Elephas maximus indicus: one gene and its partners. The protein of the gene in region 2 interacts with the protein of the main gene of each other region in a pairwise test. Links are inferred from orthologs where the notes say so. Each region holds a gene or a part of one and is shown on either strand. Other genes may lie near its edges.

What was found.
Region 1: the proteins of HNRNPUL1 (region 2) and PRMT2 interact in a two-hybrid assay, tested with the Homo sapiens proteins (2 studies listed by BioGRID and IntAct). The link is inferred for Elephas maximus indicus from reciprocal best matches to the Homo sapiens genes HNRNPUL1 and PRMT2.
Region 3: the proteins of HNRNPUL1 (region 2) and HNRNPF interact in a two-hybrid assay, tested with the Homo sapiens proteins (3 studies listed by BioGRID and IntAct). The link is inferred for Elephas maximus indicus from reciprocal best matches to the Homo sapiens genes HNRNPUL1 and HNRNPF.
Region 4: the proteins of HNRNPUL1 (region 2) and PRPF40A interact in a two-hybrid assay, tested with the Homo sapiens proteins (2 studies listed by BioGRID and IntAct). The link is inferred for Elephas maximus indicus from reciprocal best matches to the Homo sapiens genes HNRNPUL1 and PRPF40A.

Annotation. Positions count from the first base shown.
Region 1 is NC_064820.1:232,067,815-232,075,368, reverse strand, and holds the start of PRMT2 (protein arginine N-methyltransferase 2), read right to left. Parts: upstream 3,009-7,554; 5' UTR 2,913-3,008; exon of another isoform or gene 2,854-2,912; intron 1-2,853. UniProt on the Homo sapiens protein: Arginine methyltransferase that methylates the guanidino nitrogens of arginyl residues in proteins such as STAT3, FBL, histone H4. Acts as a coactivator (with NCOA2) of the androgen receptor (AR)-mediated transactivation.
Region 2 is NC_064829.1:109,911,900-109,919,442, forward strand, and holds the start of HNRNPUL1 (heterogeneous nuclear ribonucleoprotein U-like protein 1), read right to left. Parts: upstream 3,017-7,543; 5' UTR 2,858-3,016; coding exon 2,587-2,857; intron 1-2,586. Other genes in the region: AXL (tyrosine-protein kinase receptor UFO), read right to left, coding at 6,911-7,262.
Region 3 is NC_064834.1:6,681,087-6,688,429, forward strand, and holds the start of HNRNPF (heterogeneous nuclear ribonucleoprotein F), read left to right. Parts: upstream 1-4,332; 5' UTR 4,333-4,417; intron 4,418-4,743; 5' UTR 4,744-4,809; intron 4,810-5,027; exon of another isoform or gene 5,028-5,124; intron 5,125-7,343.
Region 4 is NC_064824.1:49,938,629-49,945,849, reverse strand, and holds the start of PRPF40A (pre-mRNA-processing factor 40 homolog A), read left to right. Parts: upstream 1-4,216; 5' UTR 4,217-4,472; coding exon 4,473-4,868; intron 4,869-5,881; coding exon 5,882-6,013; intron 6,014-7,221. Other genes in the region: ARL6IP6 (ADP-ribosylation factor-like protein 6-interacting protein 6), read right to left, coding at 1,109-1,162, 3,070-3,469.

The DNA of each region.
Region 1 (7,554 bases), on a different chromosome or scaffold from region 2:
AACGCCCTATCGTTCGCATCAATGCTCTTTCAACAATGCACCCGTTAGGCTCCTTGTGTTTAGGTGCCAGGCCCTCACTATTGTAGCTGGTGCTGCAAATCCAGTGCCAACTCACAGGCACCCTACAGGACAGAGCAGAGCTGCCCCCAGAGAGTTTCCAAGGAGTGGCTGGTGGATTTGAACTGCTGGCCTTTTAGTTAAAAAACTGAGCTCTTAACTGCTATGCCACCAGGACTCCATGCCCTCACTAGGTCCTCAAATATGATGCGACATATTGACCATACAATGAATGTCCTCAGGGCGCAATGTGATGTTTTCCCAATATGGTACAGGACCATGGATGACAGAGCAAACCTGACATGAAACACACAAGAATCGGAGCTGATGAACCACCCAGGCCACCAAACAGCACAGACCTGGACAGAGGGCTGGCACACACCTCAGCCTATGCTGAAAACCAGCCCACCCTAACTTGAAGGCCTGTGTTTTCAGACCCTAACCTGAAGAGATGGCTGGGCCAAGACTTTACCTGATTTGTGTGCAGGGGTTCTACCAAATATTTCATTCCAACACTGTAAAAAAGGATTGAGAACTGCCAGTGAGATTGCCCCCATGGTCTCATCTGGTAAAATGAATCAACAGGCGTTTAGTGCACTGGGACCCTGCATAGGTACTCAGAGCTCAACGGGCTCATGGCAGCCATGCACCTGCCTGCTGCCCTCCAAGCTCTGCAGCTGGGATTTGCTGTGGCCAAGGAAGGGGGAACAGAAGAAAGGGACACTTCCAGGCAGAGATTAAAAGTCCATCGGCATGGTTCCAGGCTGACAGCCACCACAAGCAGGGCGCCTCTGCCAATCCTTGCAGACTCATGACATCAACAAAAAACTAGGTTAAGCCCCAAACTTTTGTTGATTTTTGGTTACTGCAGCTTAACCAACTTGGATGAGCAAACTGCAGCTGTTTCTAAACCAGATCTCAGTGATTTGGGGGAAGTTTTTGTAGGATAATATAGCCTGTCTTAACTGGCACAGAGAGAGAAAGATCTTTCTTGCTTTAAGCTACTGAGATTCTGGGACTGTTTGTTTCTGTGCCATAATCCTGACTGAATACGAGGAGCTTTCAACTCAGCAGAATATAAAAATAAACACATAAAAAGTGAAATTATATTACATAAAAAATTAAGGAACAGCAGAGGGTTGAAGGTTATGTTAGTTGATAAATTCCTTTGAATTCTAAGAGTCTTGAGGAAAAGATAAGAAAATTTCAGAGAAATGGTAAAATGTGACCTTGATCTTAAAGGACAAGTTGGATTTGGGCAGAGGAGGAAGAGGGCACGCTCGACCCAAGCAAATGTGGATGATACAGCCCGAAGAAAATCAGGAAAGAGCTGGATGTGGTGGGTGGCGCAGTAGCCCAGCCAGAATGGGGGAGGACCAGGACAGGGCCAGGACAAGGCCAGGATGGGGTCAAGCAAGGTCAGGGCAGCTCCTGCTCATCTAAGGCTCAGTGGGGGAAAAACCCATTGCCTTCAAGTAGATTCCGACTCATAGCGTGCTATAGGTCCGAGCAGAACTGCCCCATAGGGTTTTCAAGGAGTGGCTGGTGGATTCCAACTGCCAACCTTTTGGTTAACAGCCAAATGTTTAACCACTGCCCCACCAGGGTCATAAGAGGTCAGGAGAAAAGGGAAGATGAAGCAGGAATGATGTGCAGGAAGCACAAGGGACTAAAGGAGACGGGGAGAGGGGTGTGAGGTCAGGAAGAGTGGCTGGATGAGGACAGGGTGTGGTGAGGGAAGAGGTGGACAGATGGTGATGGATGGAGAAGGTGGAGGGAAGGTGGGTGTGATGGAGAGAAGGGAGAAAGGAAAGGGGGGTGGTGGGGAGAAGGGGGGAGGGAAAGAGGCATGGTGGGGAGAAGTTGAAGGGAAAAGGGCATGATGGGGAGAAGGGGGAGGGAAAGGGGCATGATGGGGAGAAGGGGGAAGGAAGGGGCGTGACGGGAAGAACGGGGAAGGAAAGGGGAGTGACGGGAGAAGGGGGAGGGAAAGGGCTGTGATGGGGAGAAGGGGGAGGGAGAGGGGAGTGACAGAGAGAAGGGGAGGGAAAGGGGCGTGATGGGGAGAAGGGGGAGGCAAAGGGGAGCGACAGAGAGAAGGGGGAAGGGGCGATGGGAAGAAGGGGGGAGGGAAAGGGGCATTAGGGGGAGAAGGGGGAGAGAAAGGGGAGTGACAGGGAGAAGGGGGAGGGAAAGGGTTGTGATGGGGAGAAGCCGGGGGAAAGGGGGGTGACAGAGAGAAGGGGGGAGGGAAAGGGGGTGATGGGGGAGGGAAAGGGGCGTGAGGGGGAGAAGGGGGAGAGAAAGGGGAGTGACAGGGAGAAGGGGAGGCAAAGGGGTGTGATGGGGAGAAACCGGGGGGAAAGGGGCGTGAGGGACAGAAGGGGGGAAGGAAAGGGGCGTGATGGGGAGAAAGCGGGAGGGAAAGGGGTGTGATGGGGAGAGGGGGGAGGGAAAGGGGTGCGGTGGGAGGAGACAGGAAAGACAGGGTGGCGCAGATGTGCGCAGAGGAGGGGGCATGATGCAGGAAAGGGAGTGTGGCAGTGGAGAGGAAAGGGGGTGATGCAGAGGAAGGGGAGCAGAGGGGCGGGGTCCGGAAGGGGTGCGGTGCCGGAGGTGCAGGGCGCGGAGGGCCGAGCTCGCCGTCAGTCGCCAGAGCGCCGAGGAGACGTCGGGAAGGCGCCGACCTGTCGACCCTTCCTGCCGACCCCAAAAGCGGGCGGAGGCCTCGGTCCTGCAGCCTCCTCAGCACCCGGCCCGCCCTCCGAGGCACGGCTGGGGGCGAGGGCCCCTTACCTGGAATGTCGTGCCTCAGCGCACGGTCCAGCCGCCCGCTGCAGAACCAGGAGACCTACCTGAGCCGGTTCCTCTGCTCAGCGCCGCTGGCACCGCCGGCCTGAGAGGCCGATGGTCCCCGCTAGGCGCCAAGCCACCGCCCTCGGCCCGCGCAGGCGCAGTGCGCGCAGGCTCTCGGAGGAGGAGGCCCCGCCCCGATCGGGCGCCCGCGCGCAGCCGCACTCCGCGGGCACCGCCTCCCGCGGCCGCGCGAGCCCCGGGGCCCAGCACCGCCCCCATGCGGACAGTGGTGGGCGTGCGGCCCAGGAGAGGAGTGGACTTGTGGGGTGGTGAGGGAGCCAGGCTGCCCCGGGAGGGGCGGGCAGAGACCCTCCTGAGCTGAGGGAACTGCCCGTTATGGACGACGGAAATGGAGCCAGAGTCCCCTACCTGGACTAGTTCGCTTAACCTCCCCACCGCTCTGCGAAGTGTAGACTGTTAGTCGTTCTTTACGGTTGAAAAATGGAAGCACAGTGATTAGGTTTTTGCTTCGCAAAGGGGAAGTTTGGGCTTGAAAGTAAAATAGCCAGGATAAGGTCAGCGTCCGCTAGGCGCTTGGAGAGGGCCAGGTGGGGTGGCACCCAGCGGCTGCACTTCCACCGCAAATGCGGGGAACAACCGTTTTAAGGACACTGGAGAGCTGTGTAACAACAAGCACTAGAAAAGCTGAAATTCCAGGGGGCCTCCCCCCACCCCCCTCAGTGAGCTCACTCCAACCTCATGCACTGTTCATCCCCAAGGCATTTGCAGATTCTGGGCTTGGAGGACCTGGCATGGTCCAAGCAGAAGGACTCAACTGGGAGAGGCAAGGGATCCCCCTCCATCCCCAGAGGAGCTTTTGATGCCATATGAGCTGGCTTGATAGATTGGAAATAAGAGTCCCAAAAGCAAGGCCGAGACATTTGGCTGAGTTCTGGAGCAAATGGCGGGGGGGCGGGGGGGGGGCCTGAAAAGCAGAGTGAAGTGGGCCCCAGTCTCCAGTGCTACAGAGAGAATTTGCAACAGACAGTATCCCCCTCAAGACATTTGCTAAATACTGTAGTTGCATCAAATGAGAAGCTAAAGAGCTAATTTAAGGCGGGACTCAGTCTTCTCTAATTCAGGGTAGAGGGGGCTAAGGATGCTCTCAATCCAGAGCCTGGGAACTACCGTGGGAGAATGGAGAACTGGAAGTGGACTGTGTCTCACTGGGGCTATAACTCAACCCCTTTCAGCTTAAACACTGATTGGATTTAAGTCATCAGCCCTTTAAGCAACCTAATTAAGGGGTAAGGGAGCTTCCTCACTGGTAGAAGATCCCATGTGAAACTGGTATGGTCCTTTTATGAACAAAGTCCAAAGTACAATAAAAATGACTAGACATGTGAGGAGGCAGGAAACATGGCATATAATCAAGAGGGAAAAATGTAAAGTAGAACTATAGATGAGGACTAAGATGGGTCTCAAACTCACTCAAGCCATGGTGTTTTCAATCATCTCATATGCATGTGAAAGCTGGACAATGAATAAGGAAGACTGAAGATGAATTGATGTCTCTGAATTGCGTTGGCGAAGAATATTGAATATACCATGGACTACCAGAAGAACAAACAAATCTGTCTTGGAAGAAGTATAGTCAGAAAGCTCCTTAGATGAGAGAATGGCAAGACTTCATCTTACATACTTTGGACATGTTATCAGGAGGGATCATGCTTGATAAAGTAGAAGGCCAGCAAAAAAGAGGAAGACCTTTACAGAGATGGATTGACACAGTGGCTGCAACAATGAGCTCAAAGAGCAACCATCATGAGGATGGTGCAGAACCAAGCAGTGTTTCGTTCTAGTGTATATGAGGTCGCTGTGAGTCAGAACCAACTTGATGGCACTTAACAAAACAACATAAATGATCCAGATCCTGGAGTTATGAGACAAGGAGTTTAAAAAAATGAAAACTGATATGCTAAAATTTTTAAGGAATTGAAAATAATACAGTATCTAAAATGATGAACACATTGAATAGCTTTAACAGCAGAAGGGATATGCAGAAGGTCAAGCACAATCAACCTAAAAACAGATCTAAAAATTATATCCAAACCATAGCACAAAGAGAAAAAAGAACTGAAAAAACAGAGCATATAAGCGATTATATGGAAAACAGTCTAGCATATATGTTATTGGTAACCAGCAGAAAGCACTATGTAGTCATGAAAAAGGGATGAAGCGAAGCACAGCCAAGATGGTGGAATAGACAGACTCTTCCAGCAAGCCCTCTTTACTACAAACAACCGAAAAAACAAGTGAAACGAGTATATTTATGACAAGCTAGAAGCACTGGTCATCAAAGGCAAGCTTAGAAAATGAACAGAGGGGCAGGGGGAGGAAGAGACAGTTCAGAAGCGGAGAGGAGTTACCGGACCTGAATCAAAGGGAGCCCTTAGGCACCATTCCCAGAGCCGCAGAGGCAGGCCGGTACTAGCATTTGGCCGCAGTTTCCTCAGGAAGAAGCAGCCAGCCACACAGCCTACTCATACCTCCAGAACCTGAGAAGAACAGCGCTCTTGGCAAAAGCTAAGTACTTGCATGTATTTTACTGTACCCCACCCCCACCCCTAAGCCAGCTTCAGCAGTTGAATTCCCAGGGCCTGAGATACACGTTGTTGAACACCTAGAGCCATCCTCCTGGCCTTGGAGAAGGAAAAAATTTGCATTTGGGGGAGAAGATAATTTGCCAGCATCACTAACCAGGGGAGCTCAAGACAGAAGCAGCTCCTGTCCAGGCATAAACAGTCTGTAGACTTTGAGCACATTTCCCCTGTGCATGGACCTGTGTTGGCCTATTTCAGGAGAATAGGCCCTTATTGGCAGACTCCAACCATTTCAGCTGTGTGGTGCAGAAGTGGGTGTTTGATGTTTCACATTGCTTTTCCTATTAAACAGGGTCCTCATCTACCCACATCAGGGGCCTAAGGACTCGTAGCTCCACTCAGGTCACCAAGCCACCCGTGACAGGAGCCCAAGGATAACTGGTACCTCCCAGTCCTTACAACCAAAAACATTAGGTGCCCATGGTCCACCTGCAGAACCCAGCCACCTGCACACTCTAGAGAACAGGGACATGCTTTCCTCAGAGACATTCGGGGGTCAGTTCTCAACTCCCTGCCTTGTTCAGAGTGTGACCCCCTGCTGCAATCAGATACTAGTACCTACACCAATCACCCCTGTCCCTCTAAGACTGTAGGACAGAGCCTGTACCACATATTTGATGATCAGCTACCTGGACACCTAAGCTGAATTCATACAAGAAAAGTGAATGGACTCCTAGGCTGATATATGTGATAACAGCTCTAGCCATCTGGGGACAGGATGTCAGAGCTCCAAAGGCAAAAATAATCAAGCTAGCTCACTCAAGCAACCCATTTGGGCATATCAAAACAAAACAAAGCAAGAAGCTACAACATAGCAAGCAAGCATAAACTAATACAATAACTTATAGATGGCTTGGAGACAACAGTCAATATCAAGTCACATAAAGAAACAGACCATGATCACCTCAACAAGCCCTCAAAACAAAGAATCAAGGGGTCTTCTAGGTGAAAGTGCATTCGTAGAATTAGCAGAGGCAGAATACAAAAGATTAATATACAGAATCCTTCAAGACATCAGAAAGAAAATGAGGCAATATGCAGAACAAGCCAAGGAACACACAGATAAAGCAATTGAAGAAATTAGAAAGATTATTCAGGGACATGATGAAAAATTCAATCAGCTGGAAAAATCCACAGACAGACAGCAATCAGAAATTCAGAAGATTAACAATAAAATTACAGAAGTAGACAACTCAATAGAAAGTCAGATGAGCAGAATTGAGCAAGGAGAAGCCAGAATTTCTGAATTTGAAGATAAATCACTTGGCACTAATATATTTGAAGAAAAATCAGATAAAAGAGTTTAAAAAAATGAAGAAACCTTAAGAATCATGTGGGACTCTATCAAGAGAAATAACCTACGAGTGATTGGAGTACCAGAACAGGGAGGGATAACAGAAAACATGGAGGGAGTTCTTGAAGATTTGTTGACAGAAATCTTCCCTGATATTGTGAAAAATGAGAAGATATCTATCCAAGATGCTCATTGAACTCCACTTAAGGTAGATGTTAAAATAATGTCACCAAGAAATAATCAAACTACCCAATACCAAAGACAAAGGGAGAATTTTAAGAGCAGCTAGGGATAAACAAAAAGTCACCTACAAAGGAGAGCCAATAAGAATAAGCTCAGACTACTCGACAGAAACCATGCAGGCAAGAAGGCAATGGGATGACTTATTTAAAAAATTGAAGGAAAAAAATTGCCTGCTGAGAATCATACATCCAGCAAAACTGTCTCTTAAGTATGAAGATGCAATTAGGACATTTCCAGATAGGTAGAAGTTTAGGAAATTCATAAAAACCAAACCAAAACTACAAGAAATACTAAAGGGAGTTTTTTGGTTAGTAAATCAATAATATCAGGTATAAAACCAAGACTAGAACACTGGGCAGAGCAATCAGAAGTCAACCCAGACAGGGAAATCCAAAAAACAAAGCAAGATTTAAATTAAAAAAGCTCAAAACAGGGTAACAGAGATGTCATTATATAAAAGAAGACAACATTAAAACAATAAAGAGGGACTAAGAAATGTAA
Region 2 (7,543 bases):
ACGCAAAGGCTACACAGGTGACAGCTCAGTGATGAGGATGGAGAACTTGCCTGGGACTGGGGTCACACAGGTGAAAGCCCAGGGGCGGGACTAAATCCAGAGTACCAAACCAGAAACTCCCTCAAGGAAGAAACCTTACAGGCAAACCCAGAGAGAACTTTAGAAGCCGAGGATGGGCAGCACCAGGCTGTGTACCCCAGGGGCAAGCTCTCTGCTAGGTGCCTTCAGGGCCCTGCTAGTGGCTGTGCCAGGAGCCGTGAGGCAAATCCACAGGGAAGGAGAGACTACCGTGCCACCCGCTAACTGACTAGATCCTTCCTCAGAGAACAAGTACATCTGGGCCCAAACCAGGTACAGCCCAAAGGGAGAAAAGTCACATGGTTTGCTACAGGTCTGTTTACCAGGGCTGAAGAAAGGGTTTGGGTGGAACGTGAACGGGGCTCAGAGGATTTTGCTGGTGGGGAGACAGAAAGAAATAGAATCTTCTGAAGTGGAACACAGGGGCCCTTTCAGACCATTCTGCCCCTTCCAGGCTGCAGGCAGAGTGCTCTTCTCCCCACAGAGCCTGTGTCTCTCTTCCTAAGCATCTCTCCTGTGTTCAGAGGCAGCCTTGCCAGGAGCAGAAGCTACGACTCTGGGATCCGTCTCCCCTCTAATAGCAGGCAAGCCCAGTACTAAGCCCTCCATTCATGGGACCTCATTAATGACAATCCTGATGGGGCACTATTATTACCCCATTTTACACAGGAAGAAACCAGGGCTCACAGATATGAGGTGGCTTGTCCAAGTCATGGGGCCATGTCTGCCTGGGTCTATGCTCTGAAGCACTGAACTCACCTTCCTCTCAGTGACACCTCTAGCCAGACATCCAGGTCTGGACTGCCTGTGGCCCCTTCTTCCTAGGCATTCCCTACTGTGGCCCCTTCTTCCTAGGCATTCCCTACACACGCACACCAGGCAACTCCTTTTTCCTCTGCAGGTCCACAACACCCTCTTCCCAGCACCCTGGGTCCTGGACAATCCTGAGCCGTCCTACCCCCAAACCTACACTGTTGCCCCATTACTCATGAACGAATACCCAGTGCCAACCTCAAATCTCATCTCTTCCATAATCAGTTTTTTCTCCCCTTACTCCTGTAGCCCCAAGCCCCAGGATGCCCTCTTCTCAAACAAAAACCACAAACCCTGGACACCAGAGTTCTTTCTACTTACTCGTTAAACTCTACAACCCCCTACATCCCAGTCCTGCTAGAAAGCTGCCCTTTTCTAACTCCAGATTCATTCCCTCCCGCAATAGGGTCTCCTCTCCTCAGACAACCCCAGCCCTGGGCACCAAGATCTGTCCTATCCCCTCTCCTTCCCAATCACCCACCTCCTGGCTGATGCTCAGTTACTCCCCCCTTCTCCCTCCCTGGCACACAAATAACTGCCTCTGTGGACCAAGTGCCCTCTCTTGGAGATAAGTGCTCAGCCCCAGAAACACTCCCCCATTACACCCTGGGGCCCTCCCCCCATACCCCCAGTCAAGTCAACAGGTTTTCCTTCTCTTTTCACATTCTACATTCTTCTCTATTCAGACATATGCTACACATTCGTCCGTGCTAATTAAGAGTCTTGTTCTCCAGATACTCCACTGACTTCAAACTCCACCCCCGGGTACTCCTGCTCCCCTAAACACTTCACACTATTAACCGCAGGCTACTCAGCAGTAGCCACTGAGTTCTCTTATCCTTAGAGCCTTCCCACCTCTAGATCCCCAGGTCCTCTGCCCAGTGGAGCATCCTCCTTTCCCCATTGGCCAGTAAACAAGGTCCCCTATGCTTCCTCCGAGGGAGGACAACCTGAGGGTCCCAGATCTCCCAGCACCAAATGCCCAGGTTACCCTGCCTCAAGGTTGGCCTTCAAACCCTGGATTCTAGAATCCCCAAGACCATCCTCAGAGAGATGCTGATCTCCCATATCCCCTAAACGTTCTCCAGCCAAACACCAGAGTCCCCAGTCCATCAGACCCCTCCCCAACCACAGACACCAAGAACTCCATCTCTCCAACCCACCCCAGCCTCAAAGAGAATTCCCAGTATCCCACCCAGTCGCAAACTCCAGGAGCCTCCATCCTCAAACTTCCAGGCCCGGATAACTGATTATTTCTTCCCCAGTCCTGGAAACAAGGCTCCCGATCCCCAGCCCCTTGCGCTGCGCTAGTACAGCCCCCTGTGATCAGCATTTCCACGACCCTCCTCAGCCCCCCACGCAGAATATCTTTTATTTTTCGGACTCTTTCCGACTCCAGAAACCACGGTTTCCGGTGTCCATGACCTGCGCTGGGGAATTCACTACACCCCCGATCCTCCTAATCTCCGAAACAGAGAGTCCCCCACTTCCACTATCTCCCCTACGGCGAATGCCAAGATCTACTCTCCAGTCACCCCGAGGCCCTTGTCCCTAGATATTTTTCAGCGACAGGTCGCGGGATTCCTCCCCATCCTTAGACCATCTCCCCGGACTCAGGCGCCGGACTCCCGCTCCCCACAGCCCTTCCTTGGCCCGGACTCCGGGCTCCCCGGCCCCCGCCCCGCGCACTCTCACAATGTCCGTCCGGCCCCGAGTAGCCGCCGGGCTCCGGGTGCGGCTGCAGCCCGGGCGGCGGTGGCTGTGCGGTCCCCTCCAGCTCGGAGCCCCCCTCGGTCTCGACCTCCTCGTTGTTGTGCCCAGGTCGCCCCGGTTCGTCGTCGGGCTCCTCGGCCTCCAACGCCGCCTGCAGCCGCTCAGCTAGGTCGGCCTTAAGGCCGCGAGTGTCCAGGCCGCGGCGCTGCAGCTCCTCGCGAAGTTCGTTCACCTTCAGACGGCGCACATCCATGGCCCGGGCCCCCGGGGCGGCCCCCGAGCCCGGACCGGCCTCCCAGGGCTCTGTCCCCCTTTAAACCTTTCCTGTCAGGAGGCGAAGGGGGAAGGGGGGGGGCCCACTCCAATGGCGGCGGCGGCTCAAAATGGCCGCCGCCTCCTCCTCACCCGTGGCCCCGGTGCGATGCAACACAGGTCCTGATTGGCCACCACGTGGGGGCGATGGGCGCGGGCCTGGATATTTAGCCAATCAGAGGGTGGCTTTCAAAAGAACGGCAATAAAAGGACCAGGATCTGCCGGGGAGGAAGCGTTGGTCTACGTCGATGCCGCGACTGAAGCGGAGGGCGGGAAAAAGCGGGAGGCGGAGCACGCGCTGATTGGGCAGCGCCCGCGCGCCAGCTCCCGTAGGGTCAAATGAGGGAAAGGGAGTAAGGACTTGGCCCAATCAGAGATGAGATCTCAGAATGAGCGCCCCACAGACTTTCCTGTGCAGTCCCTTCAATTAAACTAATGTCTCCGTAACATACATTTTTATTGGTCTAAATCTCCCGCCCCTTGAAGAGACCAAGCGGGTAAAACCACTAGAACCAATCAAACGGAGGGTTGGCAGATACCCCTTTTTCCTCTGTTGCCTTTAAGAAACCGGAACGAGATTAAGTAACGCAGGGCCCGCCCCTTGCCGTTAGGGCGGTTTCAAAACAATTTATCCACCAATCGCAGTTACCCTTTTATCTTACTAAAGCTCGTATAATCGGATCGCTTTAGGAACAGCTAATCGGATTGGCCGCTCTTCAGAGGCTGGCTTCGAGAGTCCGGCCGTGGAGAAAGGTATACGCAAAAGAGATGAAGTAGATAAATTATTCTTAATCTGGTATAAACTCAGTCGCCTTTATGAAAAACAACATTTTGACTTCAGAGAGTCCTGAAGGTTGGAAAGGAGAGGCGAGATGAATGGGTGAAAAGTCGTAAAGGCCCCTCCCCTTTGACAGTACATCTCACAGGGTGCCTTTTTCCTCGACGGCTTCGCGGCCGCCTTCTCCGTGGCTGGCACCTCAGTGGAATGGGCGCTCTGCACCCGACCATGGAGCCTTCCCCTCCGCAGAGACCTCCAGAAGTTCTTGGCTGTTTTACCCCAAATCCTCTAAACTCCCGTTCAGTTAATCTGGCTGTTTGGCGACTAGAACTGACAAGCTAAAACACAAATCCGTAATTAAGCCGCACATTGATAAACAAACGCTACGAAGTTTCACAATGTCTACTCCGCTGCACCACCTGTCGCCTCTAACTCAGACACAAAACGTCAGTAAAATACACAATCGAGATACACAATGCAACCGCCCAGTGCCCACTGAGGCACACCTTAATTCCACAAAAGCAGCACACAGCCTCAACTTTGACAAAGGCGTCAAACACAAGTGAGTTACATCAGATGCATCAATCCAGGGCATAATACACCAAACTGCAGTGTCGATGTGCCCTGTAATGTCTGCACAGACCAACAAAAAACCCAAAACGGGCGGCATCAAATGACAAAGACACACAAAACATTACAAACTTCCAGCAACCTAGACACACGGCGCCCACTCAGAAGCGGGGCAGACACTCACGTGGGTCCGGAGGTTCCAGTCCAGACACCCCGCCCCTCGCCCACGTCCGACTTCCTCTCTCCTCCCAGCTTTCCACAATGATTTGTTCTAAAAGTTTATGGCCCGGATTGAACTGTTCCCAGTTCTCAGGATCCGCCACTGGGGGGCGTCCGGGCGCTGCCAATAGGTCCGTCAGCCGCAGGACACACCCAGGAACGTGTGCCCGCAAGAGTGTTGCAAGACACAGTGGGCTTGTCTTGGCGGGAGTCTCTTTTTGGGCTCCTGGTTATCGGAATTGCCCTGTGCCTTTTCTATATGAGTTTGAACGTTTGGGTCTGTGAAGACCAGTTGCACCCTATGTATCTCTGAGTATTTGTGCTACTTGTCAGCCTTCGTGTCTGTTAACTCTGTGTGTATCTGTGTTACTCTTAAGTTTTTCCCTATTCCTGGTGAGTATCTGCCTGTGCGTGATTGTAGATATGTTTGGACCTGTGTTAACTTTGTGCGTCTGTTATTTTATGTGCCTCTGAATTTCAGTGTCTGTATTTGTGACCAGGTGTGCCTGAGTATGTCCATTAATTCATTTGTTTTGGTACATTGGATCAGAGCCCTGGTGGGGCAGTGGTTAAGAACTTGGCCGCTAACCATAAAGGCCGGCAGTTGGAATTGACCACCCACTCCTTGAAAACCCTACAGGGCAGTTCTACTCTGTCCCGTAGGGTCGCTATGAATTGGAATCGACTGGATAGCAATGGATTTGGTTACAATGGGGGTCTCTGTGTGACCCTGTATCGATATGCCTGTACCTCGCTGGGGATTTCAGAGATTCTGTGTTTGTCTTTTTGTCTATACGTACGTTCATATCTACCCTCTTAGTGACTCTGAGACCCCACCAGACCCTTCTTTTTATTGATGGGGAAATTGAGTTGTCCTGACAGGGAAAGGGGCCACATCACAGCTGAATGGAGACAAGAGGAGACAGAGGCGTGGTTACAAAGATTTATGTGACCTGAGCCCCAGAGGCACCAGAGTCCACACTCTATACAGAGGGGATGAGGGACTGGCTCAGGGGGGCAGCATGGCCCAAAAGGGGAGAGATTGTCCCCTGGGGGAAAGGAGGTATCCCTAATGCATTGCACAGGCTTGAGGGGGGCACACCCCCACATGTAGGGAGGAGGAAGCAAAGGTGGTTCAGGAGGGAACAGGCACACAGAAGAACACTAAGATTAGAACCTTGGAATTGTACTAATAGTCTAGACCTGTGGACCTTTATAGGATCTTAGAAATTTAGAACATTCGTGTCTTAGAACTACCGTGCCTAGAATCTTAAAATTCTAGAAATATGGCTTCTTGAATGCTTAAGAACTAAAATCCTAGAAAGACAGAATGTAGCATAGAACCTAGAGGTATCCAACATTAAAAATGATTAGAACTTTGGATTCTAGAATCTTAGAAACTTACAACTGTGAGATTCTTAGAACTTTAGATGCTTAGAATCCATAATTCTGGAACAGTAGAATCTAGAGTACCTTGGAATAGAACAGACCAACATTAGAATCTTTTGAGTTTAATAATCTAGAATCTTGAAGCATATGATCTAGAACCTTAGACACAGAGAATCTAGGTTCTTAGAACATCACATCTTCGAATATTAGATCTTAGAACCTCCATGTTTAGACTCTTCAAACTTCTGAATTGCAGATTTTAGAATCTTAGACCCTTAGGTTCCAGAATCTCTTAACAAGACAATCCAGGATCATAAAGCCTTACAACCTAGAATGGACCACCATTAGACTATTAGAAATGGACAGTAGAAAATCTTGAAGACTTATGGTCTAGAGTCTTACAGCCAGAGGATCTAGACTCTAAGAGTATTAGAACATCAAGTCTTAGAATATTAGACCTTAGAACCTTCATGTCTAGAATTATAGAATCTAGAATCTTATACTCTAAGAACTCAGAATCCTAGAAAAATAAAATCTAAACCACAGCCTTAGATCTTAGAACTTGAGTCTCAGCTCTTTAGAACCTAAAATCTTGGTGTCTTATCAAGAATCTTAGAACAAGAAAATCTATAGCCATAGAATCTCAGAGCCTTAGAACATTAGGCCTTCCGATCTCCATGTGTAGAACCTCAGAACTTTAGAATTGGAGACTGGAATTTCAGGTCTTTAGAACCAAAGACTCGTAGCATCTTTGAAATCTAGAACCTTTGAATCTAGACTCTTTGGACCTTAGAATCCAGAATCTTGGAATGTTAGACCTGGGAGGACCCTTAAGGGCTGCAGCCCAATGACTTCCTTTTACAAATGGGAATGCCAAAACCCAGAGGAGAAGAATGTGTCTGGGATGGAGGTGAAGTGGGCCGGAGAAGAGGGTGCAGTCAGAGGAAAGGCCTGGGGTGGGAAAGTCGGGGGAGGGGGTCCCCCAGTGGCAGTGCCTAGCTTGGGTCCTGAGAGGGAGTCTCGGGTGGAAGGTTGTCTCAGGCTCCATCCTCCTGCCCTGGGAGTGCTGGGGAGCCCCTGTCGGCAGGCAGGGTGGGACCGGGGGCTGTGGAAGGGCAGAGGACATAGCGTCCAGCTGGATGGACCTCGACTGCAGTGAGACAGCTGCAGGAATCCTTAGGATCAGGCTGGGTTGGGGGGTCAGCTCCTCCAGCAGCTCCAAGGAGTTCAGGATGACCCCCACCCTCATCCATGTTGACGTAGAGGATTTCATCTGGCTCCTGAGCAGGGGGCAGGGCCTTCAGCGTGTTCTCCAGGTCCTCCCGCAGTTCTGCAAAACTCGGCCGGTCCCGGGGGTTTAACTCCCAGCAACGGGACATCAGGGCATACCTAGGGGAACAAAGTGAGGGGTGGGAGGCTGAGCAGAGGCTTGGAAGGAGAGCATTTGAGGAGTTTGGGGGGCATCTTAGGACACTCAGGAGACTGGGAGGCATTTTGAGGGGTAGAGAGAACCTCAGCAGTTTGAGGGCAGCTATGGGCATTTGAGAATCCTCAAGAGTTTCTGAGGGGGTCCTGGGAGACTGAGGGGCTAGGAGGGTCTTGGGAAACTTCTCTGGGTATGGGGTGGTGTTCTACTGGGGGTTTGCTAGAGAGCTTCCCAGTGTGGTTCC
Region 3 (7,343 bases), on a different chromosome or scaffold from region 2:
CTAGAGTAGCAAGGAAGCAATGGTCTGTTAGTCAAATTTTTATTACTTCCCTGTTCCCAACGCATCAGTGCTTCCCACTGACTATATATTTATAAGGATAATAATCAACATAAAACAGAATCCCCACTTTTCACTTCTCTGCCACCTGTGTTCTGACATCAGCTGCCCATGCAGCACTTCTTCCTCCAACCCTAACCACCCAGAGCTAGGTCAGACCTCACAAGTTAACGGACACAGTCCTCAAGACTGCCAAGGCTGCCCAAGACATCAAATGCCAGCCCCAGCTCCCCAGGGCTCCCATCACTTCTGACCTGCTGGCTACAAATCCGGGGGTGCCCTTTATACCCTCAGGATACCAGCCATAAGCTCAGGCATTCTCAGCCCCTTCACTTCTGACCTGCTGGCTCCCACTACTCCCTTGGGCTTGAGAATTCGATGGAACGATTCACAGCAAGCACTATACCATGATCCCAACTTTATTACAAAGAATACAAATCAGGATCGGCACAAAGAAAAGACACATAAAGGGAGGCCTAGGAAGGTCTCCAATGCGAAGCTTCCATGTCCCGAGAAGGGACTAGTTACCCCCCACTTTCATTAACCGGAAAGCCCACGGAACTTCAGTGGCCACAGCCTTTGTCAGGGTTCATTGAAACGGCCGTCTCCCTTGAGGTCAGCTGATACCACAAAGTGGTCGTTCTGGTTTGGCAATCCCCTCACTTGAGTCACACATTAGCATAAACTCTCAGGTGTGGTCTGAAGGCCTATCAACAACGACCCAAACAATACCAAATCCACTGCAGTGGAGTCAATTCCAACTCATAGTGAGACCCTATAAGACAGAGTTGAACTGCCCCATAGGATTTCCAATGCTGTAAATCTTTCCTGAAGCCAACTGCCATATCTTTCTCCCTCATAGTGTCTGGTGGGTGCGAACCAGTGACCTTTTGGATAGCAGGTGAGGGCTTTAGCCACTTGCCGCCATGGCTCCTACAGATAAAAACAGCACTTCAATTTCTCAGAAATTCCAAGGGTTTAGAGTTATTGCTCAGGAAACAACAACAACAAAAAAAACAAACCCAGTGCTGTCAATTCCGACTCTCAGCGACCCTACAGGACAGAGTAGACCTGCCCCACATCCTCCAAGGAGTGCCTGGCGGATCCGAACTGACGACCCTTTGGTTAGCAGCCGTAGCACTTAACCACTACGCCACCAGGGTTTCCTATTGCTCAGGAATCAAGGATAAAGACCAAAATTACTTTAAGTTAGTGTGGAAGGAGCTCTGGTGGTGCAGTGGTTAAAGTGCTTAGCTACTAACTAACAGGTTAGTGTCTCAAACCCAGCAGCTGCTTCAAAGGAGAAAGATATGACAGGCTGCCTCCATAAAGATGACAGCCTTGGAAACCCTGTGGGACAGTTCTCCACTGTCCAATAGGGTCACTGTGAGCCAGAATAGACACGATGGCAATAAGTTTTTGGTTTAAAGTTAAGGTGGAGCCCCTGGCTAGAGGTTCGAGTCCACTCAAAAGCAGTGCAGAAGAAAGGCCTGGCGATCTTCTTCCAAAAAATCGGCCATTGAAAACCCTACGGAGCACACTACTCTGGCACACGTGGGGTCACCATGAGTCAGTTAATATAAATAAACCCCAAAATACTGTTTCCAAAATTTCTTAAAATTTGAAATATTTCTTCATTCAAAAACTGTATTATAGTAAGTTAAAAATCACATCACTGGTTTATCTGTAATCTTTTATCCAAAAACAACTAAATAGGGCAAAATGACAACACTTTGAAAAATTGTTACAATATTATCTGTAACTTTCCCTATGTGTTAAGTATTCCATCATTTTCAAAAAGTTAGTTACTTAGAGAGAGAGACAGTTGGAGACGGAAAACTGCAAGCCGCCCCAACCCCCAGCACATCTTGATCCACATGAAGTTTTCTGACGGTCCTGAGGGTCTGCAGAGGTAAAGGCATCCAACGGTTAATAATGGGAAAACTCATGATTGGACCAAAACGCTGAAGACTTGGAATAGAGACAGAGCTAGACCTCGAGTCACTAACGTCCAACTCATTTCACTAATGTGCATGCCAAGACTCCAGTCTCTAGCCCAGCCTGCCTGGGAAATGCGCAAGGGAACGGTCCCCAACTTGACCAACGTTACCCAGTCCACCGCGGTCTGCTCTTGTGCAAAGCAACCAGCTCAAGCAAATACCCATCAAGCACGGGGAGTGCCGTAACCCCTCTTTCACTATTTGACACACATGAAAGTGCTGTTTGGCTGTTCCCTCTGAATGAACTGTAATTAATCCAAGGGTCCAGCCTTCATGCTGATGCACTCCGTGAATAAGCACTGGTGCTGCTTTCAAAACCAAAACCCACTGCCATCAAGTTGACTCCAACTCACAGCCATCCTAAACAGAGTAGGACTGCCCCATGGGGTTCCCAAGGGTGTAAATCTTTACAGAAGCAGACTGCCACAACTTTCTCCTGAGGAGCAGTTGGTAGGTTTGAACTGACAACCTTTTGGTTAGCAGCTGAGTGCTTTAACCACTGCACCACCAAGGGGCAGGCAGTGCTGCTTCAGAGGAGCATTTTTCTGTGTTGGTCCAGAAAGTTAACCAGACCATGCTATGACTGCTAAACCTGCCTGCTTCCTATCTGCAAAATGAAAGCTGAAATGGGATAAAACCCTGGAAAATTTATTACAACTTCTGACTCCATTAGGCAGGGATCTTATCCCTCGCCACTGCCTAATAGAGCACCTGGTCTTAAGGAGCGATATTTCCTTTGGACGGGGCCTATACTGTAACTGGACAATTCAATTTGCTTTCTCATTTCCTTCATTCTCTCAGATGGGAAAGGGAGGCAGAGAAGGGCTTTGTTTATGAGCCAGCCTTAAAGTCCCGTCTCTTTGTGGGACCTAGAGTGTGCCTTTCTGCAACATGTGCTGTGAAGGGAGTCTTTCTGGGGTTTCTTATTAAGAATACCTATTTAATTTTTGAGGAGCCCTAGTGGTGCAGTGGTTAGAGCTTGGTTGCTAACCAAACGGTCAGTAGTTCAAATCCACCACTCTTCAGAAACCCTATAGGGCAGTTCTACTTTCTCCTATAAGGTCACTATGAGTCAGAATTATACCTCAAATTAATTTCCTCCTCACATCTGCACCTCCTCTGACACCTGCATTTTCTATTATTTTTTTCCCTGGAGCCAGCTTCTTTTTTAACTGCACTCCTTTCTTCATTATGGCCATCCACTCATAATATGACACAATTCCAAGCACTCCCTTAATTTTTTCCTGTAAATCTGCTTACCCTGTTGATAAATACCTTATATCTTCCCTTTATGAAGGCAGTTCCAAAAGTGGAACCTGTCAAGAAAATCGGAAACCCTGGTGGCGAAGTGGTTAAGTGCTATGGCTACTAACCAAAAGGTCAGCAGTTCAAATCCACCAGGTGCTTCTTGGAAGCTCTATGGGGCAGTTCTACTCTGTCCTATAGGGTCGCTATGAGCCGGAATTACACCTCAAATTATTTAATTTTCCGGCTATGAGTCGGAATCGACTCAACGGCAACGGGTTTTCTCGATCAAGACAATCTGCTTCACTGCCTCAGGCAGAGTAGCCATTAACCACTCAGTCCATCGGCTCCGGGGCTCTGTGATTCCGAGCCACGGGACACGTGGGCAACGTCTGTCAGACTGACTAATCCGGCTTTAAAACCTAGCACTCAAAGACGCCTTTACTACGCCTCAGGTGTTCTGTCTCCTCTCTCAGCAAAACTTATTTTCTTCTCTCACGCGTCTATTCACTGCAGGGCTCCTTTGGGCTCTTTTTTTTGTTTTCATCGGGGATAATTTTTAACCTAGTCCGTATCCTCCAGGGCTTCGGCAGTGACCAGTGGGCCACTTCCCTCCCCTGAGTAGGGCCTGGCCCGTCCCGCTACGCCTCTCCCCACAACGTCCCTGCTCCGGGCGGCCGCTTTCCGGAGTGGCTCCCCCGAGGCCTCGGCCCCAGCAGGCCAATCGCTAGCTCCGCTCTGGGCGCGTCACAATGGCGCGCTGGCGGCCCCAGCCCCGCCCAGCTCCCAGGAGGCCTCGCGAGCGGAATAGCCCGCTAAACCCCGGTCGCGCGCGGAAGGAGAGCGGGTCGAGTCCACAGGGAGGGGGCAGAGCCAAGGAGCACCGTCCAGGTCATTGGACCAGAGTGCCTCAGCGTCTCTCGTCTCCGCCGGCATCAGCCCCGCCCCACGCCCGCACGGCCAATCGCCTGCTCCGCTACGGGAACGTCACAATGGCGCCCTCGAGGCCCCGCCCCCTAGATGCCCGCCCCGGAGGCCCCGCCCCGCCTTGGTCCTTTCCTTCTTCCGGCTCCGCGGTGGAACCAGGACTGCGTCGCGTCTTACGAGAGCTGAAGGTGGGGATCAGCGAGGGGGACGAGTCCGCGGTCTCGCCAGCAGTCGGCAGACGGGCGAGGGTGCAGACTTCCAGGGCTGCCGCTCTCAGGAGCCTAGGGTGTGGGGCCGAGCAGGGGCCGGAGACGCCGATGGTATCGGGGCCTCCCGGAAGCCGCGGGTGCGCACGACGCGGCGGGAGTTGTAAGCTCGTGCCCGCCCGCGCGCTTGGCCCCGCCCCCTGGGGGGGCGTCCGGGCGCGCTCGCAGGGGTTTCCATGGTGATGGTAAACAAGCCTCAACTGCCTCTGGTACAACTGCCAAGTCCACCGCGTTCCACCCTTTTCTAGGTACTCAGGCAGGACGAGGGAAGTGCCGGATGTGAAGAGCGAGAGCGTGGAGTCTCCGAGCCCGAGGTGAGGGGCGACCTGGGGCGGGACAGGGTGGGGGGCCCGAGGTCAGGGCGCTCACCCGGGGGCGGGGAACTGGGAGAATTGGGCGTGGGGGCTGCGGAGCCGAGATTAGGCGTGGGGGCGGGGTCTGAGGTCAAGGGCGCACACCCGGGGACGGGGCGGCAGGGACGGGCCAGCAAGGGGTGGGGACTGTGGGGGATTTAGCAATCGGTAGGCGGGGTCCATGGGCCCGGCGGGAAGGGCTTGAGTTCGCGGCGGAGAGCAGAGAGTGTGCGGAAGGCTCCGGTAAGGCCGCGGCTGGCGGAGCGGACTGGAAGGGTGAGTAGCCAGGCCCGCCACTTGTGGGGTGCGGAGCCGTAGTCGGGGAAGGAGTTCGTTCTTCTGAGGCAGGCAGCACATGATGGGGGTTCAAGTGTACGACTTCACTGTGGGAAACGGCAGCTCCGCCCTCCTCCCCAGCTCTCGCTCTCCCGGGAACCATTTTCAGCCCTTGGAGACTTTTTTCCAGAGCCTTCTCTCCTCAGGGGCCCCGCTCTGGGCCCTTCCGTCTCTGCGTGTCTCGCTGTTCCGTGGAGGCACCGTTTTTCGGATGTAAATCTTTGGTGCTTGTCTTTTGCCTCGTGAGCGCAGTTTTGGTGAGAGTTCAGTCAGCTCCTTGTTTCTCCTTTACTTGGTATCTTTGAACGTACTTTCTGCTAAGAGACTCGCGGACGCCGCAGCCCGCGCTCTGGTCGCCCTTCCCGCCTCAGTTGAGCGCAGAGCGGTCTCCTCGCGTCTCCACTTCCGTTTCCTCGTCCCGCTCCCTCCCCGCCGGGACAGTGGCTGCCGAGCCGGCCTGCGGGACCCTGGGCCTGGCGCCTCCCTTCATGCGAGTCCGTTTGCTATAACAGACGCGGGTGCTGATGAGCATGATGGCGCCGGCCGCCCCCGCCCCCACCCGACCCGACCCCCGCCCCCGCCCCGGCGCCCGGCCCGCCCGCGGACGCGCGGTTTTCGCGGCCTGGAGCCACGCGGGGAGCGGGCTCGGGGACGGCCCCACTCTAGGCCTCGCTCCTGGTCCTTTCGGGAGGCCCCGGGCCGGCGCAGCCGCTCGGAGGAGCCGCCTGGCCCCGGAGCCTGGCTCCCGCCGGAAGAGGCGGCCGCGCCGTCTGGTGGGGGAGGGGCAGGGCGCCCGGCCGCGCCGTCTCCCTCGTGGCGCCCTCCGTCCGCATGACTTCTGGGGGCGCCTCGGCCGGCCGGTGCGCGAGTAACTCGGCCGCGGGAGGGCCGGGCGGGTTCGCTCCTCTAGTTTCCGCAGCTGCTTGCGGGGCTCTGGGGCTCCTGGCGGCTGCTTGGACTCTGAGGGCGGGAGGGCCTGCGGCTCGTGGCCGACCGAGGTGGGACCGCCCGGGGTGGCCCGGCCTGGACGGGGCCGCAACCTGCTGGCGCGGGGAGAGTTGCGAAAACTACAGATGACCTTTTATAAAAAAAAAAAAACACCGAAACTGATTGTAATATATTTTCAGTGCGTGTTTTTGAAAGTTTTTAGTAAGTGAAAATATTCCCGGCTCTTCGGTTAGACAAAAGATATGATGTATCAGTGAAAAGTGATACTTACGGTGCTCATTTTTAGACAAAATTTTTTTCATTTCAAGATAAGGAGTAGGTTTATTTTAATCAGTATTGGGAGAGATTAATTACTGACATTAAATCCATGCTTCGCTTTGAGCATCTTTTATTCTTGTATACCCAGTGCATATTTATAAATTGAACGTATTGTTTATATGTTGTAATCTATTTTTTTCTTTGATAATCTTTACTTTTTTGTTCCTTTTTTTTTTAAGCTTCCAAGTAACTTTTTCTTTCAGTTAAGGCTAGTATTAAAAGCTTTCCTTTAAACATAAAATATTCAAGTAAAACTATGAACTGATTTAAGGGAAGGAGTAAATGGGAGGGTTTCCCCTCGCGTGTGGCCAAACCGTGAAGGAAAGAAAGGCTCAAGACTCGATCCTCTCGGGGTAGGTGCCTGGAGGGGCTATGGGGACAGGAGGAGACTTCAGTGTCTAGCCTGTCCTCAGTGGCTGCCCCTAGTGGAGATAAGGCCCCGGCGTCGGAGGCGGTGACATCGCGCCAACCCCTCCCCCATCACCTGAGCTGTGGCGCTGTACTCTTTCTAGAACCACGTTAACTGACGCTTACTAGGCCTAGGCACTCAGCTGTAGGTTTAACCGCATTTTCTAATACTCATACAATGTAAGCGAGGTACGCTGTTAAAACGGCGGCTGGGAGAAAAGTTATTTGCCCAGGGACACAGTTGGGACAAGGACTCAGGTTGGCCTAACAGGGCTTCCTTTCCCCGGTGACAGCTGCCCTGAGCCTGGCTCTTTTTGATGGGCAGGTAGAGATTAGGGCCCAGCCTAGTTTATTTTACATTTTAATTTATAAATATTTGAGCTTGTACTTCTAAGGATTTTTAAAAACAACCACATTAAAACAACTGCTTAGTATCAAATACCCAGTGTTCAGATGTCACTGATTGTGTAATGTTTTTATACAGG
Region 4 (7,221 bases), on a different chromosome or scaffold from region 2:
CTGAGCTCTTGCTAAACCTAAAAACCCAAACCCACTGCCATTGAGTTGATTCCGACTCATAATGACAGAGTAGAACTGTCCCATGGAATTGCCAAGGAGCAGCTGGTGGGTTCAAACTGCTAACCTTTTGTTTAGCAGCCAAGCTCATAACCACTGTGCCACCAGGGCTCTGAGCTCTTGGTGGAGGGAAACAAATACAGGATAAATAACTCTTGAGAGTTTTTCGTTGAAAGTCTGTAAACTAACCAAACCCACTGTCACTGAGTCAACTCCAACTCATCACGACCCTACAGGACCGGGTTTCCAAGGCTGTACGTAAATCTTTCCGGAAGCAGACCGCCACATCTTCTTCCCACGGAGTGGCTGGTCCATTTGAACTGCTGACATTTTCGTAAACAGCGAAGTGCTTAACCACTGGGCTCCTTCCGTAAACTAATGCACTCTACACACACTCAGGTCTAACTCTTTACTAGTCATTAACTTATGCAAGTACACCCAATGTGCCTTTTTTTTTGAACAGAAGTTGCTTATAAAGGGATCTGAACTTAAATATCTACAAAGTTCTGCTTAAAATGTTATCTTTGCTAAGTTTATCAGGTTTTTTTTTTTTTAATTCCTGGAATGCCTCCTCCGAAGACAACTAGAAAATTTTAAGTATCCCATGGATTTGAGTCACATATTTTTATCAGTCGCTGTCAAGTTGATTCCGACTCATGGCAACCCCGTGTGTGCATAGTAGAACTAGTCCAGCCTGTGATCTTTCAGAAGCAGACTATCAGGCTTGTCTTCCAAGATGTCCGTGGGTGGGCTTGAATTGGTAACCTTTCGGCTAGTAGTTGAGCACTTGACTGTTTGTGCCACCCAGGGACTCGAATCACATATGGTAATACTCAAAATGTACTTCCAAAATTTTATAATGGGTGTGTGTGTGTGTATACAGACATACATCTATAAATATAACATAATAAAAACTCATCACATATATACGCAAATCAAAGACTGAATCAAGGGCACAGACGAACATATTGGGCATTTTATCTAAAATTTTGTACAATTTAAGTATGTTTTGAAAAGCAGAAGTGGACCTTAAATCAAATTAAGTCCATACCTAACAGCCCAGTGTCTACACCATCTTCATTCTTCAGATTCTCAGCATGCAACTCTGTAAATACAAAGAGAGGGCTAGGTAAAGAATAAAGTTATTTCGTAATGTGAAGTAATCAAAGGCTTGGGTGACATTGTGAAGTTGTGCAAAGTACTCCAGAGTCAAAGAACTGGTTTCGAATTCTGATTCTACTTACTAGCTACGTGATCTTCAGGAATCAAGTAAGACTTACCTTATAAATGGGAAAGCTAATGTTTACTTCATAGGGTTGCTGTGAAAACAGTTTAATAGCAATTGCAGAGCATACCAGGTCTTACTTCAATTCCTTCCCCCATTCTTTAGTATAAAAACAGCTCAATGTTTTCTGCAATGAACTTCAATTTACAACAATTTTATGACTTTATGATGCAAAGGCAATCTTTCAGAGAAAAACAAAAGGTAGAGGTATCACCTGTTTCTCTAAAGTTTGCTTTACACCACTTCGCTTTTACAAAAGACCTACGCTAGTACCTGTTTTCACTAACAAAAAAAAAATCCAGAGGATTTTTGCTTTTACAAAAAGAGGCAAAAAGTGGAAACTGCCATCAGCCATTTGTTTTGCAGTGAGCCTTTAAAGATGCAATACACACCCTGAGCAGTCAGTGGCATTGCCAAGCTCCTTCCATGGGAACTATACTCAGCATCTCAGCATTGTATATCATTCCTGCTTTTACTGCCTGGTAGTGTTATTTGGTATGATTTGGTAGGTTAGTTTTGGGGCCTGAGAAATGCTCGAAAAATTTTCCCATATAAATTAATGTTAATGCTTCTTTGTTTCACGCCATTTCAGCTTAAGAAATGTTTCACAGGAACTCTCTACATTCAGATATCAAGGGAAGCCTGTACCTAGAAAACTGTCTCTTAGAATTGCTGTGAAAAAATAAGGGGAGAGGAGAAGGAGTGATAAAATAATAAAACATTGGCAGCCAAGTAATTCATATTCACAGTTTACCATCTCATGAAGAGGTAAAATTCACAAAGTAACTTGTCAGTCTATCTTCTTACAATCAAGCATTGTAAGCTGTTAGATGCTATCTGCTGCCCATTAGGAGCTGGGAAACAACGAGTAAAAAATAACTGTAGTTAAACAAATATACACTATTTAGTCAAATGAAACTGACACTTCAGAGATGTGTCGGGTGTGTTCTATACACAAAGTAAGGTAGTTCTTTTCGTTTTATATTTTTTTCCAATAATTTGGCCAAGGTCACATTCACTACTCAGAAATGATATTTAAACTCAGGTATGAATCCTTCTACTTTTATATGCAGTACCCAACCATATAATACATCTGTATCAGCCTCTGCAAAACCTTTCAAGGCACATCTATTTTTATTCCAATCTGGCCAATATTTCAACTTCAGGCACTACTAAAGGGGGGAAAAAAAACCCTACGGACGCTGCGGTAAAACTTTACTTACTACACCCAGCTACAAATATAACATAAAACTAAGAGAGACTAATTATTTTACCCGTCCAAGTACAAATTTGGGTTGTGGGCTAGAACTTCTTGTCCTCCAGGAATTCTGTGAGTGTACAGAGGGATCGGTGGATCAAAGCCACTGAACCTGTAGCCTTTTCAATTACACCCATTTTTCACCGTCTCCTTTTAATGATGGTGTTTCTGAAATTTGCTTTTCTCAATATTTCACCCCAAGTGGTCACTGATTTTAAGATATTAAATCTTCAGAAGTACCCATTTATCAAAGGAATCATTCTTAAAAAAGAGTCTGCTGATCACAGACCAGGGTCTTCCACCTTGGGAAAGAGAAGACAAAAGGAGAAGAGCAAAGAAAGGTGCAGACGACGACTCTGAATGAAAGAGGCTGCCAGCTTGCCGGTGAAAAGAGGGAGAGATGGAGGCGAGGGACGCGTCCAGGCCCAACTTCTGCTCTGGGCAGACTTTCAGGCCCGCGCTTCAGTACCTTTTACTATCAGGTAGGCGATGGCAAGAAGGAATGCGAGGAGGGCGGCGAATAGCAGCGAACAGAGCACAGAGAGGACCTGGACCGGCCACCGCCGAGCCGAGGCTCGTCCGCCCACAGTCGCTGGGAAGATGCCATTGCGCTTATCGGGCAGAACCGGTGAACCGTCCCCGTGCGGCGGTAGCAGCGAGCCCTTCCTGAGCTCCGACGACCCCCCAGCCGAGAACTCGGCTCGCAAGTCGCGGGCCACTTGGTCGCATCTCTCCTCCTCGTCGACTTCGCCCTCGCCCCAACCGTCCCCCTGAGAGAAGGCGGAGTACACCGGCCGAGGGAGTGGGGCCCGAGTGCCAAGTCGGCGGCGCCGCAAAGCCAAGACGCTCCCGCTCTCCACAAACGACATGGCGGGAAAGACCGTGAGGCCCGCGGAGGCGGAGCGGCTCCCACCCTGGGCCGTCAGCAGCCAATCAGCGCCCGGGCCCTATCCCGGCCTCGACCACCCGGCTCTGGCGTGCAGGGGTGCGTAGGAGTTCGCAGCTGGCGGGAAGCAAGCAGACGGGCCTCCTAAAGAGCCCGAACGCCCCTGGACCAGAGCCCGACCCAGGGTCTGGCAATGCGGAGGGAGAGAAGCAAAGCGCGGAGCGGCAGGCGAGCCGAGACCGAAGGTAGCCGAATGCCTGGCTCCTGCAGCGCTTCGTTCCGGCCGGAGACCTCAGCCACCGCCGCGTCACCTCTAGGCAGGCGCGCGCCCTGATAGCTCCAATGCCGCACCTTCCCGACACCCGGTCCTAGCGCCCGCCTATGCCGCTCCGATACACGTTCCCGAACCTATTTGCTCTTTCCCTTTTCTTTGCTTGCCTTCTTCCCTGATTTCCTCCTTAAGAGCAGCTCACCGCCACGCGCTCGTGTCTTGCCTTAACCGCCCATTCCTAACTCTCTTCCGCATCTTTTTTTCTCTGCCCCTACCACTCCTTCCCTCCACGCCCTCTACACGCCTCTACCTCTCTTCTGCCAGGGCGTGCGCTCTCCGATCTGTTACCTACCTCGAACTCTCTTCTTTTGGGCCCCTCCTCCCGTCTTCCCCGCCCCCTCCCTTCCTTGCCCCTCCCACTGTCTCGAGCACTGCGCGCGCGCCATCTGGCCGCAGCCACCGCTAACGCTAGAAGCTGCCTACCCCACCCCCACCCACCGTACCCCTGGCGGCTTCAGGTTTGTGGGGCGTACGTAACTTGGTTGGGGGCGGTGAAGGCGCCAGGCCCCCGCTGCCCACCCCCTATGGAGGAGTGCGGCCGTCCCAACTAGGGAAGCTGGGACACTGTTATCTTCTCTTCCCCGGGGGAAGTTGGTGAAGTTTTCCCGGCGGAGGATTCGGAGCAGAAACTTCCTCCGTCCCCCTCCCCCCCTCCATGCAGGCGACGTCGAGTGAGGCTGGGGGCGAATCGCCGCAGAGCTGCGTGCCGGCCGCGCACTCAGATTGGGCTTCGGGGAAGCCTGTCAGCTTATTGGCCCCGCTGATCCCGCCCCGAAGCGCAGCGCAGCCTTTAACCTTTGGCCCCGGCGGGCGCCAGCCACTCAGATCGCTTCTTGTTGGCATGTGTAGCGGCAGTGGCCGCCGGCGGAGCAGTCAGAGTCCGACGATGAGGCCGGGGACGGGAGCAGAGCGTGGAGGCCTCATGGTGAGTGAAATGGAGAGCCATCCTCCGTCGCGGGGTCCCGGGAACGGGGAGCGGAGATTGCCCGGCTCAAGCCTTTGCTCCAGCTCTTGGGTCTCTGCTGACGGCTTCCTGAGGAGCCGGCCCTCGGTAAGGGATCGGTGGGGAAGGGGGAAAGTGGCACAATGAAAAACGGAGTCAGAGAGACAGGAAGCTTTCTCAAAGAGGAGAAGAGTGGACGGAGGAAGCGCTCGAGATGGTGGGATATGTTCCGATGGAGAGAAATGGGGGGCGGGGACGCACAAAGGGAAGGATGTGGGACCCTGGAAGTTCCCGGTGGGCTTGGCGTAGGCAGAGGCGTGGTGGAGATGCTGGGCCCTGGGCGGGGTAAGCGTCTAGGAGAGGTAGGCCTGATTTAGCAGGAAGAGGGAGGCGGAAACTTGGTTTTGTAGACTTTAAAAGAGGCTGCCAAAATTTGTTTTCACTAGTAGTGGGGGTGTCTGCAGTGGGAGCATTGGCAGGAAATTTACTTGGTTTTAAGACCTGGAACAATGGACACTTAGGTGAAGTGTTGTCTTTTTAAAGAGCATTAAAGTTGCATTTTTTCCGGAAGAATTTTACCTGTCTTAAAAGTTGTGTTAGGAAAGAATATGTTTATTTGTTAGGAGTGAAGTGTCCCTAGGTACCTATCTGTCTTTTCTAAGACCAGTTCTCATCTGAGTTAATTTGGTAAATTTAGCGTTTTAAAGTCATTTAAGTAACGTGTTTTAAAAAAAGCGTTATAAAATAGCAATAGATGGTTCTCTTTTGTATCTGTGAAATATGACAAAGTTGTGGCTTTCACCATGAGAGTTTAAAGTAGTTATTACATAAATTTCGTTCAAGTTTGGCAAGCCAGTTAGTAACTGATTAAATCAGTTTTTCTTTTTAAATTGATCTAGATGTTCAATGATGGTTTCAAGTTATATTCAGGAATATGGCAGTTGCAAGCTTGTTATAAACACTGTAGTGCATTTTTTGTTAATATAGGACAAGAGAGTATAAACTATCTGCGTAATTCAATCACACATTACTTTAATATTAGCCACTGCAGAGAACTCATTTGAGATTTTTGAGAAGCTCTTTCTGTTACTTGCTGATGTTTAGTTTTCATTATTTTTCAGATGGGACACCCTGGCATGCACTATGCCCCCATGGGAATGCACCCTATGGGTCAGAGAGCGAATATGCCACCTGTACCTCATGGAATGATGCCACAAATGATGCCCCCTATGGGAGGGCCACCAATGGGACAAGTAAGAATATTTTTGTATTTTTGTTTTGTTTTCCATTTATTTTTGTCTTCTAGTATTGTGTCAAGATGAAGTCTGGGTAAATAGTTATAGCTGTTTAAGGATTAGTTTATGTCAAAATAATGTTTTCAGATACAGCAAATGTTGGATCATGACTAACCAAATTTTGAATGTATCAAAAGTCTTCTGTACGAAAAACTTATTTCCTACCTCAACAAAACTAAGAGTTTCTTTTTTTTTTTTTTTTAAATTAACAAGGTACATTTAGGCTTTTTAGTTTAATGACTTTTTTTTAAGGATGTCAATTTAACTGAACGCTCTAAGAATAAGTATTATCTGATATGTCACATAACTTATATTGGTGGGCCATAAAAGATGAATACAAAGGATCTGAAAATAGGAATTGCTTAAGCCATTAACTGAGAATGAGTTCTATATTTTATTCCTGAAATATCTTCTTCTTTTGTGTGTATGTTGGAGGCGGGGCTGATGAGGTTCCTACTTCATAATTCTGATTTTTCATAGGATGCTGTCAAATAGGTAGCTCATTTTCCATTTATACTATTTTGTTTAAGCAAAATTTGTATTGCTTCTGCACTACTGCTTCTGAGCCGTCCCTTCCATCTCGAGCATGAATTGTAAATAGACATTTTGTAGGAGTGATTTAGATCAAAAGGTTTTAAGGCTTACTCAGTGGCTGATAGAACTGAATTCCTAGGAGAGCATTCAAGAAAGTTAACAGGTTAAGTTACTATGGATAATTTCATGTTTTCTGTATTAAGTCCTATAATACACAGGTCCTTTAGGTGGCTGGGTTATTTCCATTTGAGTATCTTGATAAATCATCAGAAATTTAGGCTAACAAAATATTTTGAAAAAAACCAGTCGATTTGATTTGATCTTTTGATAATTAGTACTGTTTTCTTTGATAATAATTTAAGTCACGATGGTTAAAGTTAATAGTGCAATTGCAGTGGACGAAAGGAGCTTGCTCTGTGTCTCTTTCTATTTAACCGTAAGAATAGAAGGGCTTAACGTCAAGTGGTTTTCTTCTTTTTTATTTGGAATATAGCCCTTAATTTTGTATAAAAATCTTTATTCAAAGGCACAGGCCCAAAAGATTCTGCCTGTAGGTGTTCTTTAAATAAAAGAACTGTTTATTCTGTGACTGTAGAGTAACATAAAATTTAAAATTCCCTATATGATGGAGA